Macaca fascicularis: one gene and its partners. The protein of the gene in region 1 interacts with the protein of each later gene in a biochemical or structural test. Links are inferred from orthologs where the notes say so. Each region holds a gene or a part of one and is shown in the gene's direction. Other genes may lie near its edges.

Region 1 (7,493 bases):
CTGGATTAGGCCATATAGCTCCCTTTTAACTAGCTGGGTTATATTTGACTTGACAACATTGTTCTACGTGGTTACTGATGATAAACACACCCTCCAGCCCTGGGGACAGACCCTGGACCACCAAAGCCCATTTAAGGATTAACATTCATGATGCCCCAATCCTGCCTATATTACATAATTTACTTGTGTTTAAACAAAACAAAACAAAAAACACAAAAGAAGCAAGGCCAGGCACGGTGGGCTCAAGCCTGTAATCCCAGCACTTTGGGAGGCCAAGGTGGGTGGGTCCTGAGGTCAGGAGTTCCAGATCAGCCTGGCCAACATGATGAAACCCCATCTCTACTAAAAATATAAAAATTCGCTGGGCATGGTGATGTGTGCCTGTAATCCCAGCTACTTGGGATGCTGAGGCAGGAGAATCACTTGAACCCAGGAGGTGGAGGTTGCAGTGAGCCGAGATGGCACCACTGCACTCCAGCCTGGGCAAGATAGAGCGAGACTCCATCTCAAAATAAAATAAAATAAAATAAAATCGCTGTGATTTACATGTTTTTCCTTCTCTCTCTCTCTCTCTTTCTGTTTTTTGGTGGAGTCTGACTCTGTTGCTCAGGCTGGAGTGCAGTGCCACAATCTCTGCTCACTAGAACCTCCGCCTCCTGGGTTCAAGTGATTCTCCTGCTTTCCTGCCTCAGCCTCCCAAGTAGCTGGGATTACAGGCGCCCGCTGCCATGCCTGGCTAAGTTTTGTATTTTTAGTAGAGATGGAGTTTTCACCATGTTGACCAGGCTGATCTCGAACTCCTGACCTCAAGTGATGCACCTGCCTCATCCTCCCAAAGTGCTGGAATTACAAATGTAAGCCACTGTGGCTGACTCATGCGTTTCATTTTTATTCCAGAACGTCCCATGAAGAAGGTATTATTGGGATTCTTACTGTCCATATGAGGAATCCATACCCCTAGCAGGACCTGACTTCTCCCCATATTCCTCTTTACTGCTTTATGTTGTTGTCTTCTTCCTGTTTTAGAAGGCAGACCCATGTTTGACTCACATCTTACTCATTTAGCACTCAGTCTGTTGCATGCCTATTGCACAGTAGGTCTTAGTAAATATCTACTGCTTGGAATTTGATAAAGTATGGCCCTCCTATTCATCCTCATTGGTCTAACAAGGCCTTCTAAACCAATCAGCCTGGAAAGTGAATTCCACATTCTGGCATGAATCACCACGCCACCTCACCCATGATAAATAGGTCAGAGGGGATTTCACAGTGTTTCCTGGAAACTGCTCCACTCCTCCCTTGCGAGGCAGCATTTTATGGTAGGAAACTCTTGGCTTCAGAAAGCAGATGGGTTACGTGCCAATGTCCACTCTTAGACAAGTTATTTAGTTTCTCTAAGCCTCGGTTTCCTCATCTGTGACTTTTTTTTTTTTGATGAAATGAGATACTATGCATAGTTTTCATTTCCGATCCCCTCATTCTTCTGTATTCCTCCTCTCTGTGCAAACAAGACGTGGGACAGGCGCATGGTGGCTCACGCCTGTAATTTTGGCACTTCGGGAGGCTGAGGTGAGAGGGTTGTTTGAGGTCAGAAGTTCAAAATGAGCCCAGGCAACATAGAGAGACCTTGTCTCTACAAAAAAAAGTTTTAAAAATTAGCTGTGTGTGGTGGCACGTGCCTGTATTCCCAGCTACTTGGGAGGCTGAAGTGGGAGGATTGCTTGATCCCAGGAGGTGGAGGCTGTAATGAGCTATGATAGTGCCACACCCTAGCCAACAGAGCAAAACCTTGTCTAAAAGAAAGAAAGAAGAAAAGAAGAAAGAAAGAAGGGAAAAAGAATAAAAAGGTAAATGGTAAAAGGTTTTAGGGGAAAAGGAGCCTGCAGAACAAGAATTAGGGGAATCAGGAGTGAGTGACAATGTGGAGGTCAGCGGTTCTGAGCTACAATCCCCGTCCTGTTTTATATAAATTGAGACTCTCATTCCTAAAATGGACTGGCTGTCTTGCAGGGTTTATAAGGATAATAAGAGATAACCATGTGACTTATCTAGCACACAGTGGGTACCCCATAAAGAGTAGCTATTACAAGGTAAACTAAGACATTTATCTTTTCCTCATTTTGCTACCCACTCTGTCCCCAAAGCAAACTCCAACTAATTCCTTCCAAAACACCATCTTTCTCTTTGCCACCAGCCCCCCCGGCATTTTTTTTTTTTTTTTTTTTTGAGACGAGACTCGCTCTGTTGCCCAGGCTGGAGCGCAGTGGCGCCATCTCCACTCACTGCAAGCTGCATCCCCCGGGTTCATTGCATTCTCCTGCTTCAGCCTCCCCGATAGCTGGGACTACCGGCGTTCGCCACCACGCCCGGCTAATTTTTTTGTATTTTTAGTAGGGACAGGGTTTCACAGTTTTCGTCAGCATGGTCTCGATCTCTTGACCTCGTGATCCACCCGCCTCGGCCTCCCAAAGTGCTGGGATTACAGTCATCAGCCACTGGGACCGGCCAATCCCCACCTCTTTTGAACACTTCTACTCTCCAGTCCACCCATACGTCCTGCAGTCAAGCCAGAGGAGGGAAAACAGAGCAAAAGAAAGTATTAAAGGAAGTAACTTTAAATCAGTAACTTTGAGAAAAATATTTAAGTTCCAATATTATGTGTGTGTGTGTGTGTGTGTGAGAGAGAGAGAGAGAGAGAGAGAGAGAGAGAAAGAGAGAGAGAGAGAGAGAAGGAGAGAGAAAGCCTTTGTTAAACTGGGTAACTCCAAATCCCAGGAAAGTAGAAATGGGAATTTTTATAAAAGCATGATATATCAGTAGAATGGAAATAAATCACCAGGTTTAAATCTGAGTGTGTGACTATGGGCTCCAGTCTTCAGGGACTGTATGTTCGCATGTCCCAATCCGGGACGAGGAAAGAGGAAGGATTAAAAAAAGAAGAAGAAAAAAGCATTGTGGTTTAACAGTTCCTACAGGTTTCCTTTTTTTTTTTTTTTTTTTTTTTTGCTTTTTTTAAAGCTTGCCCCATAGTTATGGGAACACCTCTGGTCTCAGATGAGTGCTGGGAAGGAGGGGACTTGCTCCGGGCGCAAGTTTGTGCGGAAGCGCGACTGGACCTGGGCTCTGAATCTGGGGGTCCGGGGTTCTGCACCCAGTCGTCAGCTTCCTCATCCGCAGAGTGGCCCCCAGAAGCCTCCGGGTGGTCGCGAGGATGCTCTAAACCCCGGGGGCTAAGGCCGAGCCCAGCGTCCCGCGCCCAGCCCGCGGGAGCTCTCGAGGCTCGCAGCGCGGCCGACCTTCGCCACTTCGTGGGCAACTGGCACTTCGGTGCCCGCAGGCTCTCGAGGGTACCTCGCGAGGCCCGACCAGTCCTCGCCGCCCGCCCCTCCGCGCCCCACGTGACTTCCTGACGGCTGCAGGGACTGCCCTTCCCGGGCTAGGTTTCGTTTCCTCGGCAGCCTCGGAGCGCGGTTGCAGTAGTCGCGTCTCGACCCCTGGGAGCATCATGGCACAGCTGTGCCCCCTGGCCGAGGAGCTGTCGTGCTCCATCTGCCTGGAGCCCTTCAAGGAGCCGGTCACCACTCCGTGCGGCCACAACTTCTGCGGTTCGTGCCTGAACGAGACGTGGGCCGTCCAGGGCGCCCCATACTTGTGCCCGCAGTGCCGCGCCGTTTACCAGGCGCGACCGCAGCTGCACAAGAACACTGTGCTGTGCAACGTGGTGGAGCAGTTCCTGCAGGCCGAGCTGGCCCGGGAGCCACCCGCCGACGGCTGGACGCCGCCCGCCCGCGCCTCTGCACCCAGCCCGGGTGCCCAGGTGGCTTGCGACCACTGCCTGAAGGAGGCCGCCGTGAAGACATGCTTGGTGTGCATGGCCTCCTTCTGTCAGGAGCACCTGCAGCCGCACTTCGACAGCCCCGCCTTCCAGGACCATCCGCTGCAGTCTCCAGTTCGCGACCTGTTGCGCCGCAAATGTTCCCAGCACAACCGGCTGCGAGAGTTTTTCTGCCCCGAGCACGGCGAGTGCATCTGCCACATCTGCCTGGTAGAGCATAAGGCCTGCTCTCCCGCGTCCCTGAGCCAGGCCAGCGCCAACCTGGAGGTAACGAATGGCCCGGGAGGGCGCAGAGGGCAGCCTGGGCCTGCTGGGTGGTGCAGAGGGGCCACCGGGGGCCTCTCTGCCACCCTCTGGACGCCCTGGGGGAGATGGGCCTGAATTCGAGGCCGGGGCATCTCCAATGTCAGAGTAGAAAGGGGCTGGGAGATTATATAGTCCTCTGCCATCATCCATGAAGACAGGTTAGGTTGCTTGCCATAAGCCTGTCTTTGTCTGATGGTGTTTATTTTTATTTTTTTTGAGACAGGGTGTCGTCCCTCTCACCCAAGCTGGAGTGCAGTGGCAGAATCACAGCTCACTGCAGCCTTGACTTCCCGGACTTAAGGGATCCTCCTACCTCAGCCTCAAGAGTAGCTGGGACCACAGACTCGCTAATTTTTTTACCTTTTTGTAGAGATGAGGTTTCGCCATGTTGCCCAGGCTGGTCTCAAATTCCTGAGCTCAAGCGATCTGCCCACCTCTACCTCCTAAAGCGCTAGGATTAAAGGCGTGAGCCACTGCACCCCACCATCTGATGGTGTTTAGTAGAGGGTTTTGAATGTCAACTATGAACCTTGGAGGTAACCTCTGTTCCTTCACGAAGTCCTGGTGGCACCCAGGAGGTGGATATGATTTAGTTTCATTTTACTCTTGAGGATACTGAGGTTCAGAGAAATGAACTTAGCCTGACCTAATGCAGTAAATGGCCACGCAAGCATTGCGGCCCAGGTTGGTTCGATTTCATAGTTTGCATTTCTCCCCATGGACCAGCCTCGTATCCAGGTCCGTAGAGTCTGGAGCACCAAACAGCCCAGGAAGCTTGAGGTCATGTAAGCAAAAGCCTTTGGTGGGCCGGAGAGTTCGTGTGATCAGGAAGGGTTGTTATTAGAGGCCTAAGAGGGAGGGTGGGCAGCCTCCCAGTAATCACTGGATCAGAACCACAGGGAGAGCCAACACTCTTGCACCATAGTGTCCTCTGTCCTGGCCGTGTGACTTTGAGCACAGGGTTTGGCCCCTGGACCTGGGTCCTCACCAGTATAGTGAGGCTGTGGGACTAGGTGGATTCCTAAGGGCCTTTCAGGTCTGCAATGTTTTTAGGTTGTCTGGGGATCATACCTTTCCCTTGTGGACTCAAAGCAGAGGCTGAAATCAAACCACCTTTTGTTACATCAGCCTAAGATCCAAAGCATGGCCTGATTTCATTTCATTCTCACAGCACCTTCAGGGAGAACAAGACCCGTCTTCGTGTTGTCAAAGGAGACAGTAGCCTGAGCAAGGTCAGAGTTGGGGGTCTGCATCCAGCTTTGTGTAGCATATAAGCTTGGCTTTTTTTTTTTTTTCCTTTTAGAGACAGGGTCTTGCTATGTTGCCTAGGCTGTTCTTGAACTTCCGGCCTCAAGGGATCCTCCCATCTCAGCCTCCTGAGTAGCTGGGACTACAGGTGTGCCACCATGCCTGGCTATAAACTTGGCTTTTTTTTTTTCCTTCTTTTAGAGACAGGATCTTACTTTGTCACCCAGGCTGGAGTACAGTGGGGTGATCATAGCTCACTGTAATCTCCAACTCCTGGGCTCAGGTGATCCTCTTGCCTCAGCCTCCTGAGTAGGTAGTACTACAAATGTGAGCCACCACACCTGGCTAAGTTATAAAAAATTCTTGTGTAAAGACAGGATCTCACTATGTTGCCTTGGCTGGTCTTGAACTCCTGGCCTCAATGCTCCTCCCATCTTAGCCTCCCGAGTAGCTGGGACTACAGGTGTGCTACCACCCGGCCTGGCTGTAAAATCAGATTTTTTTTTTTTGAGACGGAGTCTTGCTCTGTTGCCAGGCTGGAGTGCAGTGGTGCGGTCTCAGCTCACTGCAACCTCCGCCTCCTGGTTCAAGCGATTCTCCTGCCTCAACCTCCTGAGTAGCTGGGACTACAGGCGTGTGCCACCATGCCCAGCTAATTTTTATATTTTTAGTACAGACTGGGTTTCATCATATTGGCCAGGCTGGTCTCAAAGTCCTGACCTTGTGATCCACCCACCTTGGCCTCCCAAAGTGCTGGGATTATAAGTGTGAGCCACCATGCCCAGCCCATATATATATATTTTTTAATCTTTTCTTTTAGAGACAGGTTTTCACTCTGTCACCCAGGCTTGAGTACAGTGGCATGATCATAGGTCACTATAACCTTAAACCCTGGACTCAGGTGATCCTCCTGCCTCAGCCTCCTGAGTAGCTAGGACTACAAGTGCGTGCCACCACAGCCAGCTAATATTTTAAAACATTTTTTGTAGAGACAGGATCTCACTATGTTGTCCAGGCCGGTCTTGAACTCCCAACCCCAAGGGATCCTCCCACCTCAGCCTCCCAAAATGCTGGGATTACAGGCGTGAGCCAGGAGCCTGGCCTAAACTCTGCTGTTTATTCCTAACAACAGGCCTTCCTCTGCCAACGCCTGCCCTGCTGTCCTGACTTGCTGAGTCCTATAACAGGTCTGCTTTTTGAGCCCTGCTACTGCTGCCCATCACTGTTGGCAGAGCCAGTCTCAGCTGGGCAATGCCCTTGGCCTTGGGGGTTGGGTTGTCTTGGCCACTGGTATGGGCGGACTTGAGACTCTGGTGCCTCCCATGTGGAAGACCCAAGTCTCCAGTCTGTGAAGGGATCCTCAGAATTTCAAAAAGTCCTTTACCTTTGATTAGGGGATTATTGCTGCTACCAAAGTTTTCGGGTCACTTTCCTTTGGTCTGGAGTCATGTGGGCACCATTCATGATGAGGGTACTGCTGCATGTGTTTGATTAATGGTGCATCAAATCTTTCAAAACACAGGGCTCAGGGTGTAGTGCTATGAGCAGCTCTTGAAAGTGAAGCAGTTGGCAGCCTTGGGGTGTTATGAGGTCTCTTCCTGCTCGGAGGCCAGCAAGGCCGGATGTATGTAGGCCTGGTCTTTGGCCCACACCTTATCTTGGCCACTGTTAGAGGCCAGGTCGAAGGGCGGTGTCACAGAGGTCAAGTTTGAAACATCATGAGCAGCTTGGGCTTTTTGGATTGAGTTAGTGTGGCCTTGGTCCCTGCCTCCAGCCCCTACATGTGACTGTCATTGGGTTGTTCAAATCCAGATTCAAGATCAGGTTCCGCCCAGAATATCTTGGGTGGAGTTGAAGAGTCTGGAAAATGGAAGACAGGGCTAGAGTATGTTGAGTCTGCTAGTTTCGGGAAGGAAATGGTTTTTTTCTGGAAATCTCCAGCATGCTCAGTTTGGACATGTGTCTATGATTTTAATATCAGGATCTTAGATGTGCCAGTCACTAGTAGTGTAGCTGGGGCAAGTCACTTAATTGTTCCATGCCTCAGTGTCTTTGTCTGTAAAGGCTACATAATTCCTACCTCATAGTGTTGTTCTTAGCTTTA
Region 2 (6,773 bases), on another chromosome or scaffold:
GCCATCCTAAGGAGTATGAAGTGCTATTATTACTTTTTTTTTTTTTCTTTTTTTGAGACAGTGTCTCACTCTGTCACCCAGGCTGGAGTTCAGTGGTGTGACTTCAGCTCACTGCAATGGCCGCCTCCTGGGTTCAAGTGATTCTTCTGCCTCAGTCTCCCAGGTAGCTGGGATTAGAAGTGCCTGCCACCATGCCCAGCTAATTTTTGTATTTTTAGTAGAGATAGGGTTTCAACATATTGGCCAAGCTGGTCTTGAACTCCTGACCTCAAGTGATCCACCCACCTTAGCCTCCCAAAGTGCTTGGATTCCAGGCATGAGCCACTGTGCCCAGCCAAGTGCTCCTATTTCTGAAGCATTTTCATATTATATAATGACATTCATTTTTAATGTCTTTATGAAGTGGATGTAGAAAAGGTGAATTTTATAAAGCAGATAGAATACATGATTCTAAGATTCTGTGCAAAGTAATGAACAATTAAATTTCCTTATATTTGGGAAATGGTTTATCATTTACAAGGGACTTTCACCCCAAATAAATATTTCATCATTGTTCCTCACAGTGAAACCACAAAGAAAGGCAGATATGTCATTTATTAGCCTTACTTAAGGGGGAAAAGAAACTGAGACTCAGAAATATTAAGAAACTTCTATTGCAAGCAGTCTCAGCTCATTTTTAGACGAATGAAGGATAATATAATGAAGAAATAAAAGGTAACATTTTCAAGACCTCACACCACTAGAAAGTAGCAGAGTGCATGTTCTGATCCCATATCTAATGTTTTTTCTCCCACACTACAGTGGCCTCGGAACAGGGGAACGTCTGGAGGGATGGGTTTTGGTGGTAGCTTCTCAATGTAAACTTACTGTGAATGAGAAAGATCTGTATATGTTTTCACTTCTAGTTAATCTCCCGAGTGAAGCCTTTTCTTGACAGGAGGAGGGTGTTTGCTTTTACTACATTACTGCTGCCCCCTGGGGTTTGGAAGAGAAAAAACGTCTCTTCTACCCCTTCTCCACACAAAAAACACAACTCACACACACACGAGCACACGTGCTCACCTCACATTCACACACCACACGTGCACATGTGCCTCAAACACAGACATGCGCGTCTTCCACATGTACCCCCAGCACACACACACACACCCCCCACATAAACATCACACGCACGCACGCCACACACACACTCCACACGTGCTCACAAACACACCCTACTCCTTCCTTCCTCCCTGCTTCCAGGAGGGTGTGACCTGTCAAATTTCTAGAGGGAGGCCAGTTCCCTCCAGGCCACACTGCTTTGTCGATGTTGACTTCTGATACACTTTGGCCTTATGGAGTGGGATGAAGAAAACTAGGAAAATTTCCGGCTTAAACAAAGTCAGGCCTTTAGACTGTGGTTTCATTTTCTGTTGGTTTGTTTGAAGCATTGTGAATCTGTCAATAGCCAGGTACACCCATATCACAATATGGGCAAAATTGAATGCTTTCTGGAAAATCTTCTCTGATTTGCCCTAATCTGTCTCTCTCCATTGACCACAGTGGTGAATGTTGACTCAGGACCAGGAGATAGTGGACAGCCCCACCTAAAAGTTTTGGGGTTTGGGGGCTACTTTGAGTCCCAGAAGAGAGCCTGGGTCTCACTATCATCCTAGGCCATGGAATGACATGCTCTGCCGTGCAGGCAGAATGTCAGGATTCTTTCATCAACTGACACAGTCAGTGAGCACCTGTAGTCCCAGCTACTAAGGAGGCTGAGGCGGGAGGATCGCTGGAGCCCAGGTGTTCGAGGTTGCAGTGAGCTGTGGTCGGGCCACTGCATTCCAGCCTGGGCAACAGAGCAACACTCCATCTCTTAAAAAAAAAAAAAAAATTTCCCGTCATTGTCAAACCACTCACCTTCAAGATTTTTACACGTCAAACCACCCATCTTCAAGATTTTTACACATCAGATTAGGCCAAGTAATTTGATAGCACTTGGATAGCAAGGCTGGAAAAGCAAAGAGGAGGAAGGGTGGTAGGAACTCAGTTACATTAACTCCAGTGTTCACTACTTTGTTTCATTTTGGCTTTTTCTCCCCTAGCTCCTTCTTCACATCGTAGAAACATGGCGTATAGGGCTAGAAGCAAAAGCCGAGATCGGTTCTTTCAGGGCAGCCAAGAATTTCTTGCGTCTGCTTCAGCGTCTGCTGAGAGGTCCTGCACGCCTAGTCCAGATCCGAGCAGCCACAGGGCTTCCCTGGAGGACACGCCTGTGGATGATCTCACCCACAAGTTCACGTATCTGGGGAGTCAGGATCGCGCTCGGCCTCCCTCAGGCTCGTCCAAGGCTACCGATCTCGGAGGAACAAGTCAGGCCGGAGCAAGCCGGAGGTTTTTAGAGAACGGCAGTCAAGAGGACCTCTTGCATGGAAATCCAGGCAACACTTACCTTGCTTCCAATTCAACACCAGCCCCCAAGTGGAAGAGCCCCACATCCTGGACGAACGACCAAGGCGCCAGGAGAAAGGCCGTGTTTCCTCCCACGCTGCCTGCCGCCCTCTCTTCTCTTGGCTCTCTGCAAACACCTGAAGCTGTGACCACCAGAAAGGGCGCAGGCTTGCTTTCCTCAGACTACAGGAACATCAATGGCAAAAGTGGAACTCAGGACGTCCAGCCTGGCCCTCTTTTTAATAATAATGCTGATGGAGTGGCCACAGATACAACTTCTACCAGATCCTTAAATTACAAAAGCACAAGCAGCAGTCAGAGAGAAATATCAACACCTAGGACTCAGGATGCTGGACCTGCTTCCCGAGATGTTCAGGCCACTGGCAGAATCACAGATGATGCTGGCCCAAGAGTGGCACTTGTTAATGGTAAATACAAAGGGAAGAAACTTGGGGCTAGTGCATTTGTTCACGATACACCAAATGGCTCTAGTCAAGTGGCAGATAAAACTACTGACGTAGAAAAAACTGGTGCCACTGGTTTTGGCTTCACAATGGCAGTCATGGTGGAGAAAGATAAGTTACGTTCTGGAAGTCAGAGTCTGAGGAGCCTGGTCCCCACCACACCTGGGGAATCCACTGCCTCTGCACAAGTCAGCACTCTGCCTCAGTCACCTGCTGCGCTTTCCTCAAGCAACAGAGCTGCAGTATGGAGGGCCCAGGGGCAGAACTGCACCCAGGTTCCTGTTTCCCCTGCCAGTGAGCTCACAAGGAAGACAACAGGCTCTGCTCAGTGTAAGTCACTGAAGGACAAACGGACCCCTGTGTCTCGAGTCTGCAGCAGAGTGGCTATGGCTGCTGGGTTTTCCTTCCATGTTCCCCAGTTCTTAAAGGGTAAAGAGTTAGAGGGTTTTGGTTAAGGGGTGGTCTGGTGAGGAGGTTGACTAGTGAAGACAGGGAACGACCAACCAGTAGAACCACAGGGAATAAGCTGCCACATTTACTGACAATAGGAATATTTCAACTATGATTTAAGAAATAAACACAACTTTCACAGGACTCTGAGGTCCACATTTTTGTTTTATGGAGGGGCTGTCTAGACACTCATGAGAAACACATAAATCATAAGAATTTTCTTGAACATGGCCTGCATTTCAGATATTCTTTCCCATTGTGAGACCAAGTGCCTTGATTTTTGGTTTAAACATTACAATCAGCATACATGCATCCTTTTTTGTTTCATAGATTCTTTATCTGATGTCACAAGTACCACATCTTCTAGGGTGGATGATCATGGCTCAAAGGAAATTTGTCTTGACCATCTGTATAAGGGTTGTCCGTTTAATGGTGAGTAACCTAAGGACTTTTCTGTAAGCTTCTACCTTTTGGCCATTGTAAATAACGCTGCTATGAACATGGGTGTGCAAATGTCTTCTCAAAACCTGGCTTTCAATTCTTTTAGATATATACACAGAAGTGGAGTTGGGGGATCATACAGTACTTCTTTTAATTTTTTTTTTTTTTGCGGAACTTTTTTTTTTTTTTTTTTTGAGACAGAGTCTCGCTCTGTCGCCCAGGCTGGAGTGCAGTGGCCGGATCTCAGCTCACTGCAAGCTCCGCCTCCCGGGTTCATGCCATTCTCCTGCCTCAGCCTCCCGAGTAGCTGGGACGACAGGCGCCCGCCACCTCAACCGGCTAGTGTTTTGTATTTTTTTGGTAGAGACGAGGTTTCACCGTGTTAGCTAGGCTGGTCTCGATCTCCTGACCTCGTGATCCACCCGTCTCGGCCTCCCAAAGTGCTGGGATTACAGGCTTGAGCCACCGTGCCCGGCCGCGGAACTATTTTTCATAGTGGCTGTACCATTTTTCTTTCCCACCAGCAATGCACAAGGGTTCACATTTCTCCACATCCTCACCAACACTTGTTCTTTTTGTGTGTATTTGTTTGCCTTTTTTGTTTGTTTGTTTGTTTTGAGACGAAGTCTCGTTCTGTCACCCAGGATGGAGTGCAGCGGTGCAATCTCAGCTCACTGCAACCTCTGCCCCCTGGGTTCAAGTGATTCTCATGCCTCAGCCTCCCAAGTAGCCGGGATTACAGGCGTGTGCCACCACGTCCGGCTAACTTTTGTATTTTTGGTAGAGACGGGGTTTTGGCACATTGGCCAGACTGGTCTTGAACTCCTGACCTCAAGTGATCCACCCGCCTCGGCCTTCTAAAGTGCTGAGATTACAGGCATGAACCACTGCGCCCAGTAACTGTTTGTCTTTGATAGCAGCCATTCTAACAAGTGTGAGTTGTGGACTATAATGAGTGGTTATGTACTTTTCAATCAGCCAAGTCTCAAGTGGGGCCACTCTATGGGTGTCCCTGCAGTGTCTAAACTTGTCTTTTTTGTTAGTTTGTTTTAGAGCTGTCACACATCTTTATTTTGAGTATTTCAAAACAATTTAAACATAATATAATGCAAATTTTGAAAAACAGAACTATTTTCTATCTTCCTGTATTGTAGCTTATAACATCTATTCATTCTTTAGCCGGCATTTCTGCAATGGGTATCTTTTTTATGCCTAGCCCTGTGCCAAATATGCAAAGGGGATGTAAGCTAAACCATAGTGCAGCCTTCTCTTTAGTGACTTTGTAATTAAGGTAGGGCATGAAAATATCCATAAAATGCTAGGCACGGTGGCTTACGCCTGTAATCCCAGAACTTTGGGAGGCTGAGGCAGATAGATCACTTGAGGCCAGGAGTTCAAGACCAGTCTGGCCATCATGGTGAACACCCATCTCTACTAAAAATACAAAAGTTAGCCGGGCGTGGCAGCACAGGCCTGTAATCCCAGCTACTCGGGAGGCTGAGGCAGGGGAATCTCTTGAACCCGGGAGGTGGAGGTTGCAGTGAGCCAAGATCGCGCCACTGCACTCCAGCCTGGGCGACAGAGTGAGTGAGACTCTGCCTCAAAACAAAAACAAAAACAAACAAACAAAAAATCCGCAAATGAGAAAACTGTGTGCAGTAAGTAAAAACGTATACAAAATTAACCCCCAACTGAGTATTGGGTACTGGCTAAAGGAATGCAGAAAATACAAGTCAGATGGAGATGGAGTGAGATTCGTTAGGAGAATCTTTCTGGAAGAGATGAACTGTAGGCCAGGGCTTCAAGGAAATACAGGCTGTTGCCTCTGCTGGAGAGCATTTTGGCTTAATACACTTGGGGGGGTGCAGAAAGGGTAACTAAATTTCTGATTACCTCATATTTCTTTTTTTTTTTTTTTTTTTGAGACAGAGTCTCGCTCTGACACCCAGGCTGGAGTGCAGTAGCCAGATTTCAGCTCACCGCAAGCTCTGCCTCCCGGGTTCATGCCATTCTTCTTCCTCAGCCTCCCGAGTAGCTGGGACTATAGGCACCCGCCACCACGCCCGGCTAGTTTTTTGTATTTTTTAGTAGAGACGGGGTTTCACCGTGTTAGCCAGGATGGTCTCGATCGCCTGACCTCGTGATCCGCCTGTCTCGGCCTCCCAAAGTGCTAGGATTACAGGCTTGAGCCACTGCGCCCGGCCACCTCATATTTCTATCTGGATAGAGTGACTTTGGGGGTAGTGGAGAATTTTTGTTTTGTTTTGTGTTTTTTTTTTTTTTTTGAGACAGAATTTCACTCTGTCACCCAGGCTGCGGTGCAGTGGAGTGATCTCGGCTCACTGCAACCTCCACCTCCCAGGTTCAAGTGATTCTCCTGCCTCAGTCTCCCAAGTAGCTGGGATTACAGGCACTCACTAGCATGCTTGGCTAATTTTTGTATTTTTAGTAGAGACAGGATTTCATCATGTTGGCTAGGCTGGTCTTGAACTCCTGGCCTCAATTGATCTGCCTGTCTCGGCCTCCCAAAGTGGTGGGATTACAGGCGTGAGCCGCCACACCTGGCCTGAACTTTTGTTTTCTGATGCATCTCCAAGGTAATGAAGGAACCTGGAAAATGGACACACGGCAATGTCAGCAGGTATAGATGGGACCTGTCTGGCAGGGGGCAGGCAGGAATGGATGGGGAAAGCTGGCAGTGAACTTGACTGAATTGTTTAGAATCCCCGCTCAACAGTCCCTCAGACCCCCTCTTTGTCTTTGTAGGTAGCTGCAGCAAAGTCCACTTCCATCTGCCTTACCGGTGGCAGATGTTTATTGGTGAAACCTGGACGGACTTCAAGCCCATGGAGATGATCGAGGAAGCCTACTCTGACCCCAGAATCCACGTGTAAGTTGGTGACTGTACTCTGGCTTTCAAGAGTCCAACATTATCAAAGGGAAGCATTAGTGCTATTCTTAGGGGAAAAAGAAAAAAACACTCTTCCA
Region 3 (6,773 bases), on another chromosome or scaffold:
AATTCTCTGGTCACTCTGCAGCCATCTTAACATGTAGACAGCCCAGAGGTATCCAAGAACTGATTTCCATGGTGGACGCTTCAGGATTTGGTGGTGTTTCATTCTGGAGGAATAAGGATGAAGGGTCTGGCAGTTGTGGTTGTGAAGGTTTATTTGAAATCAAAATGAGGAAGCTGCTTTTCTTTCCTCATGAAGCAGAGAACAAAGATGGGATGCAAGAAAGTTCATTTTGAACAAAGAACTTCCAACATGCGTACCCATGACTACACATAATTAAGATAGTTTGCTTTTCTCCACCTCCGTGTGGAGCTAGGCTTCTTTTTTTAGGTTGTATGGGTGAAGGTCAGTATGCCATAGACTTATGATTGGTTGAGCCTCTTTACCCAGTTATTGATTTTTACTTAGTTTTAAGTATAGCTGTAATAGTTTTAGCTTATTAGGATTTATACCTATTGCCTAGAGTAACACTTAAAATATTTGAGATTATTAGTATTTAATTGAATTTCAGTATATAATTGAATACCATTATAAGTGAATTTTTTAAAAACTTGGATGCCTGAAAGGCAAGGTTATATTTTCACCTTCTTTCCTGGTAACCTCTATTCTGCTTAAGTAGTGATTAGAACCATATCTGAAAAAACTAATTAAAAAAGAAAATTAAAATTGCTCATAGGAAAATGTGTATCATATAACCCAGGTATTTCAAATCTAGAAATTTGTCCAAAGGGAAATAATGGGATATAATGTAGCAGTTTTACAACAGTGAAAAATTGGATTAAAAACAGGAGGCCTGAACACCCTTTATTTTTACAAAAATAATGAAGATAATTTCAGGTGGGATGGGGCAAGAAGTGGGGAAGGGGAAATCACGTTTGGTTTTTAATTTTTAAATTATTTATTTCTTATTTATTTTTTTGAGACAGGGTCTCACTCTGTCTCCCAGGCTGGAGTGCAGTGGCGTGATCTTGGCTCACTGCAATCTCAGCCTCCAAAGTAGCTAGGACTACAGGTGTGTGCCACCACGCATCATTAATTTTTGTATTTTTAGTAGAGATGGTCTCTACAGCCCAGGCTGGTCTTGAACTCTAGACTCAAGTGATATGTCAGCCTTGGCCTCCCAAAGTGTCGGGATTACAGGCTGGGATTATAGGCATGAGCTACTGTGCCCAGCCAGTATATTTGGTTTTTTAAATCAAAACATTCTAGGTCTAGCTGGGCATGATGGCTCACGCCTATAGTCCCAGCTACATGGGAGGATCATTTAAGCCCAAGAGTTCAAGTCCAGCCAGGGCAACGTAGTAGGAATCTATCTCAAAAAGCGGGGGTAGGGGAAAGGAAGCCGGGTGTGGTGGCTTACACGTGTAATACCAGCACTTTGGGAGGCTGAGGTGGGTGGATAACCCGAGGTCAGGAGTTCAAGACCAGCCTAGCCAACATGGTGAAACCCCATCTCTACTAAAAATACAAAAATTAGCTGGATGTGGTGGCACCTGCCTGTAATCCCAGCTACTTGGGAGGCTGAGGCAGGAGAATCACTTGAACCCAGGAGAATCACTTGAACCCAGGAGTCGGAGGTTGCAGTGAGCTGAGATTGTGCCACTGTACTCCAGCCTGGGTGACAAAGTGAGACTCTGTCTCAAAAAAAAAAAAAAAAAAAAATCTAAATTTTTTTTTATATAAAGCAAATTTGAATTTGAAGTGGTATGGGAATCAGATTATCTATGTATGATCAGTAACCAACTAAAAGATATAAGGGGGAGGGAGATTTCCATTCACAGTGACAATAACTGCAGTTCATGCATGTAGAACACTGACTCTCCACTAGTCCCTGCAAATGCTTTACTTACATCAATAGGCTTTACAGCAATCCATATAGTAGTGCCTCCTATGTCATTTTATAGGCAGGAAACTGAGACTTGAATAGCTTCAGTGCCAGTAGATCACACAGCTAGTTCATGGCAGAGTTGGTAGAGCCCATCTGTTTAACCATTACATCTACCAGCCTAATCAGAAAAGTTTGAAGCAGAAATGAGGACAAATAAATTTTACTGGGAGATATTAAGATAAAAGAAATGCCATGCTCTTGAATGACTGAATATTTTAAACATGTGCATTCATCCCAAATTCGCTTATTCATGTATCACAAACCATATTGAAAGCATAAATATACTTTTAATTTGATAAAATGGTTCTAGAGTTTATATAAAATAATAAATAGATGAAAATAGCTATATTTCTAGAAAAATTAAAATGGGGGTAGCTAGTTGTTTTGTATTGATAAGGCAATCCCTAATGAATGGAGATTGCCTTATCAATACAAAACTACAAGCCACCCCATTACAACATTTTCATGGCTCTTAGCATAAGACTAGCCTAACAGAGGGAGGCAACGCTGATGGGCATTTACCCTGTGCTGGGCAGGCCTGAGCAGTCATAAGCTCATGTTATCTCCTGACAGTCCATGAAGCAGATGCTATCATCCCATTTTATATGTAAAGAAACGAGGCGCTTGCCCAAAATGACGTAGCTGCTAAGTGACAGGGACGCTATTTGCATCTAGGCTGTCTGGATCCACCTGGGACACTTGAAAGCATAGTCTGATATAGAGAGGCGCCACCATAAACCAGTGGGACGGACAGAATCTTCCATAGAAGACATGGAGGAAATCTGTGTTCTTTCTTCCTTCATGATGTTTCAGGGTTCCTTTTATCATTTCCTCTGTTTAGAAAACTTCCTTTAGCCAATATTTTAGGGTAAATCTGCTGATGACAGATTCTCAGTGTTCCTTCATCTGAGAATGTCTTCATTTCTTCCTTATTTTTGAAGGTGGCATCTTGCTGAGTCTAGGGTTCTGGGATGGACTGTTCTTTTCTTTCAGCATTTAAAAAATATTGTGCCACTTCCAGGTAGCCTCCATTGTTTCTAATGACAAATCTCCTGTTATTCAGACTGATTTCCCCCTATGGGTAAGATGTCTTTTTTTTTTTTTTTCCTCTGCTTTCAAGATTTTTTTCTTCAGTTTTCATAAGTTTAATTATAACGTGTCTCAGAGTGTTTTTTGAAGGTGTTTATCCTGTTTGGAGCTTGTTCAGCTTCTTGAATCTTGGTTGATGTAGCTTGTTAAATTTGGGATATATTTGGCTGTTATTTCTTTGAATACTTTTTAAGCCCTGCTCTTCTCTCCTTGCAGAACTCCAGTGCCATGACATCGTTTTTTATAGTCCTACAGGTCCTTGAGACTTTGCTTCCCCCCCTCCCAGTGTATTTTGTTGTTGTTTAGATTGGGTAATTTCTGTTGTTCTTTCAGATCACTGACTCTTTTCTTTGTCCCTTCCATTCTGCCACGGAAAGCCCATCCATTGACCTTTTTATTTTGGTTGTATCTTTCAGTTCTAAACTTTGTCTTCCATTTCATTGTTGAACCTTTATGTTTTCTCTTTATGTTTCAAAAGTATTTATAATTGTCCATCGAAGCATCTTTATTAGGGGCTTTAAAATCTTTCTCATCTTAGTGTTGGCATCTATGATTTTTTTTTCATTCAGTTTGAGATCTATTTATTGGTATGAAGAGTTTTATACTATCATGTCCATGGTTCTAAGTTGGACCATGTTCTTAGCCAAGGACTAGATTTTGAATTAGAATATAATCATACTACACATATGCAACAATATTCCCTGTGGCTGAAGGGGAGAGAGAAAAAAGGTTTTAGATGTTGAGGGCTGTATTAGTCTGTTTTTATGCCACCGACAAAGACATACCTGAGATTGGGAAAACAAAGAGGTTTAATTGGACTTACAGTTCCACATGGCTGGGGAGGCCTCAGAATCATGGTGGGAGGCAGAAGGCACTTCTTACATGGCAGCAGCAGGAGAAAAATGAGGAAGAAGCAAAAGTGGAAACCCCTGATAAACCCATCAGATCTCGTGAGACTTATTCACTATCATAAGAATAGCACAGGAAAGACTGGCCCCCATGATTCAATTACCTCTCCCTGGGTCTGTCCCATAACACACGGGAATTCTGGAAGATGAAAACAATTCAAGTTGAGATTTGGGTAAGGATACAGCCAAACCGTATCAGGGGCTCTTCTGCCTGCTGTATCACTCATTGGGTTTGTGCCTGCAAATGGATATAATTATGCCTGAAACAGTGCATATTGTATATCTGGTACAGGTTTTGCTTTTTTTCAAGTTTTGCAAAACACTAAAGTAGAAAGCATGGTTCATATGACTATTCTATGGACGTCTTTAGTGCTTTTATGAGCATTTTTGATGAAGAAATTCAAAGACTGGTTGGAGGCCACAATTAAACATTGACTAATATTAAGTTAGGAGAACCAATAAAATCTGTGATTTTACCAAGTCAGGTACCATATGTTCATGGAAGTTGTATATGAATGATTGTATATGTGCATGTATATGTATATATCTATCTGTGCCTGTTTCTCTCTATATGTGTTATACTCAAATTATATTTGAGGTCTTTATTTTTGCATTAGATTCTGCATATACAGACTCATGAAAAATTAATCAGAGATAGTCAAGAAAAACCAAAACCTGTACCTGATAAGGAAAATAAAAAACTGCTCTGCGGAAAGTGCAAAGCCTTGGTATGTTACACAGCTGACATAAGAGTGATAGAGGTAAGCTGCCTTTTTACAAAGTGCCTGGTCATGTTTTAGCACTAGCTAAAGCTTACTGTTGGTGAAATATTTATAGTAAAACTCTATTATTTCCATTGCTATTGTGGCCATGATCTGTGTATTTGAAAAAAAGCTAAGAAGTGAAAAAGAAATACTAAATGTTCAATAATAAAGTTTTTGGCCAGGCATAGTGGCTCACACCTGTAATCCAAACACTTTGGGAGGCCGAGGTGGGTAAATCACAAGGTCAGGAGTTCGAGACCAGCCCGGCCAACATGATGAAACCCTGTCTCTACTAAAAATACAAAAATTAGCTGGGCGTAGGGGCAGGCGGCTGTAATCTTAGCTACTCGGGAGGCTGAGGCAGGAGAATTGCTTGAACCCAGGAGGCAGAGGTTGCAGTGAGCCGAAATCACGCCATTCCACTCCAGCCCAGGTGACAGAGAGACTCCGTCACAAAAAAAAAATTAAAAAAAAAAAAAAAAAGCTGGGCATGGTAGCAAGAGCCTGTAGTTCCAGCTACTCAGGAGGCTAGGTGGGCTGATTGTTTGAACTTGAGAGATCAAGGCTGCAGTAAGCCATGATTGCACCACTGCACTCTAGTCTGGATGACAGAGTAAGACCCTGGCTCAAAAAAAGAAAAAAATAGTTTTAAAACATTGCTGTACAGCCACTTAATATTACACAGCCATTTAAAAAAAAGCCATTAAAGTGGTCAGGCCGAGCATGGTGGCTCATGCCTGTAATCCCAGTACTTTGAGGCAGGTGGATCACCTGAGGTCAGGAGTTCGAGACCAGCCTGGCCAACATGGCAAAACCCTCTCTCTACTAAAAATACAAAAATAAGCTGGGCATGGTGGTGGGCACCTGTAATCCCAGCTACTCAGGAGGCTGAGGCAGGAGAATCACTTGAACCCAGGAGGCGGAGGTTGCAGTGAGCTGATGTCGCACCACTGCACTCTAGTCTGGGTGACAGAGCAAGACTCTGTCTCAAAAAAAAAAAAAAAAAAAAAAAAAAAAAAAAGTCATGCTACATGCAATGAAGTGTCCTGGATTAGCTCCTGGAACAGATAAAGGATATGACTAGAGAAAGAGTGGTAAAATCTGTAGTTTAGATAATAGTAATGTACTGAGGTTAATATCTTGGTTTTGACAAATGTACTGTGGTATATGAAATGTTAGCATTTGGGGAAACTGGGCAAAGGGTATGCAGAAATTTTCTGGGATATCTTTGCAATTTTTCTGTAAATCTAAAATTGTTCCAAAGTAAAGTTTATTTTAAAGATTATGAAGTTTATGTAGTATAATGAAAAACTGCTTACAAACTAATGTGGAAAAAAGTAACCAGAACACAAAATTATAAAGATGCTACTTTATAGCTGTGTGAAACAGCAGCAAATACCATTGTCACTGTCAAGAAAAAGTCAAAAAACTTACCTTTCTACAGAAAAACAAAGGCTAGGGGAACTATACCAAAATGTATTAATATTTTGGTGGTGAGATTCCATGATCTTTTTCTCTTTCCCTAGTACTTTATGTTTTCCAAACATTCCTTTTGGGCTATGGATCACTTCTATAATGAAGAAAATATATCCTTATTTGTAAAATGTGACATCTGAAGGTTGGCTTTCTATTGCAGCCTTGTATTTTGTTCTTAAAACTTTCAGAAAAAGGGTTAGAAAAATCTCCAAAGAGAAATGTGGGGTATAACTGTCTTGCATGTGGGGTTACGGTGGAGGGGCTGGGCTGGCTCAGATGAGGAGTTATTACTTCAGGGTGTTCCATTCATCTTCAGAAAGCAGAAATCTCTCATCAGCTCAGCTGTTTGGGCAAAAAGCATATTAGGAGTCATATTGCTAAGTTCCCTTACCTTTCTAAGTCTGCTGCTTTAGCGTAAAAGGTCCTTTTAGCTCCAATTTGGGTGATTATTCTACTAAAAATGGCCCTTTTAGACCCTATGTTTTCCTGAGGGACTAGTATGTTGGATCTGCATTTGTTTGAGCCGTTTACTCTAAAGTTGACTCTAGGTGGGGCCTGTGAACACGTTAGTCCCTGACCTTCTTCAATTGCACCTTGACCTTGGTCATTTTCCCTGTATCCTTTGGATTGTGCCTGCTAGGGCCACTGGTG

What was found.
Region 2: of the proteins of TRIM25 (region 1) and ZC3HAV1, one has a biochemical effect on the other in vitro, tested with the Homo sapiens proteins (2 studies listed by BioGRID). The link is inferred for Macaca fascicularis from reciprocal best matches to the Homo sapiens genes TRIM25 and ZC3HAV1.
Region 3: of the proteins of TRIM25 (region 1) and RIGI, one has a biochemical effect on the other in vitro, tested with the Homo sapiens proteins (5 studies listed by BioGRID, with this or other methods). The link is inferred for Macaca fascicularis from reciprocal best matches to the Homo sapiens genes TRIM25 and RIGI.

What each region holds. Positions count from the first base shown.
Region 1 is NC_088390.1:49,806,650-49,814,142, forward strand, and holds the start of TRIM25 (E3 ubiquitin/ISG15 ligase TRIM25), read left to right. Parts: upstream 1-3,445; 5' UTR 3,446-3,505; coding exon 3,506-4,102; intron 4,103-5,312; exon of another isoform or gene 5,313-5,373; intron 5,374-7,493.
Region 2 is NC_088377.1:180,749,799-180,756,571, reverse strand, and holds part of ZC3HAV1 (zinc finger CCCH-type antiviral protein 1), read left to right. Parts: intron 1-2,084; coding exon 2,085-3,224; intron 3,225-3,674; coding exon 3,675-3,776; intron 3,777-6,551; coding exon 6,552-6,675; intron 6,676-6,773.
Region 3 is NC_088389.1:66,627,727-66,634,499, forward strand, and holds part of RIGI (antiviral innate immune response receptor RIG-I), read left to right. Parts: intron 1-4,499; coding exon 4,500-4,643; intron 4,644-6,773.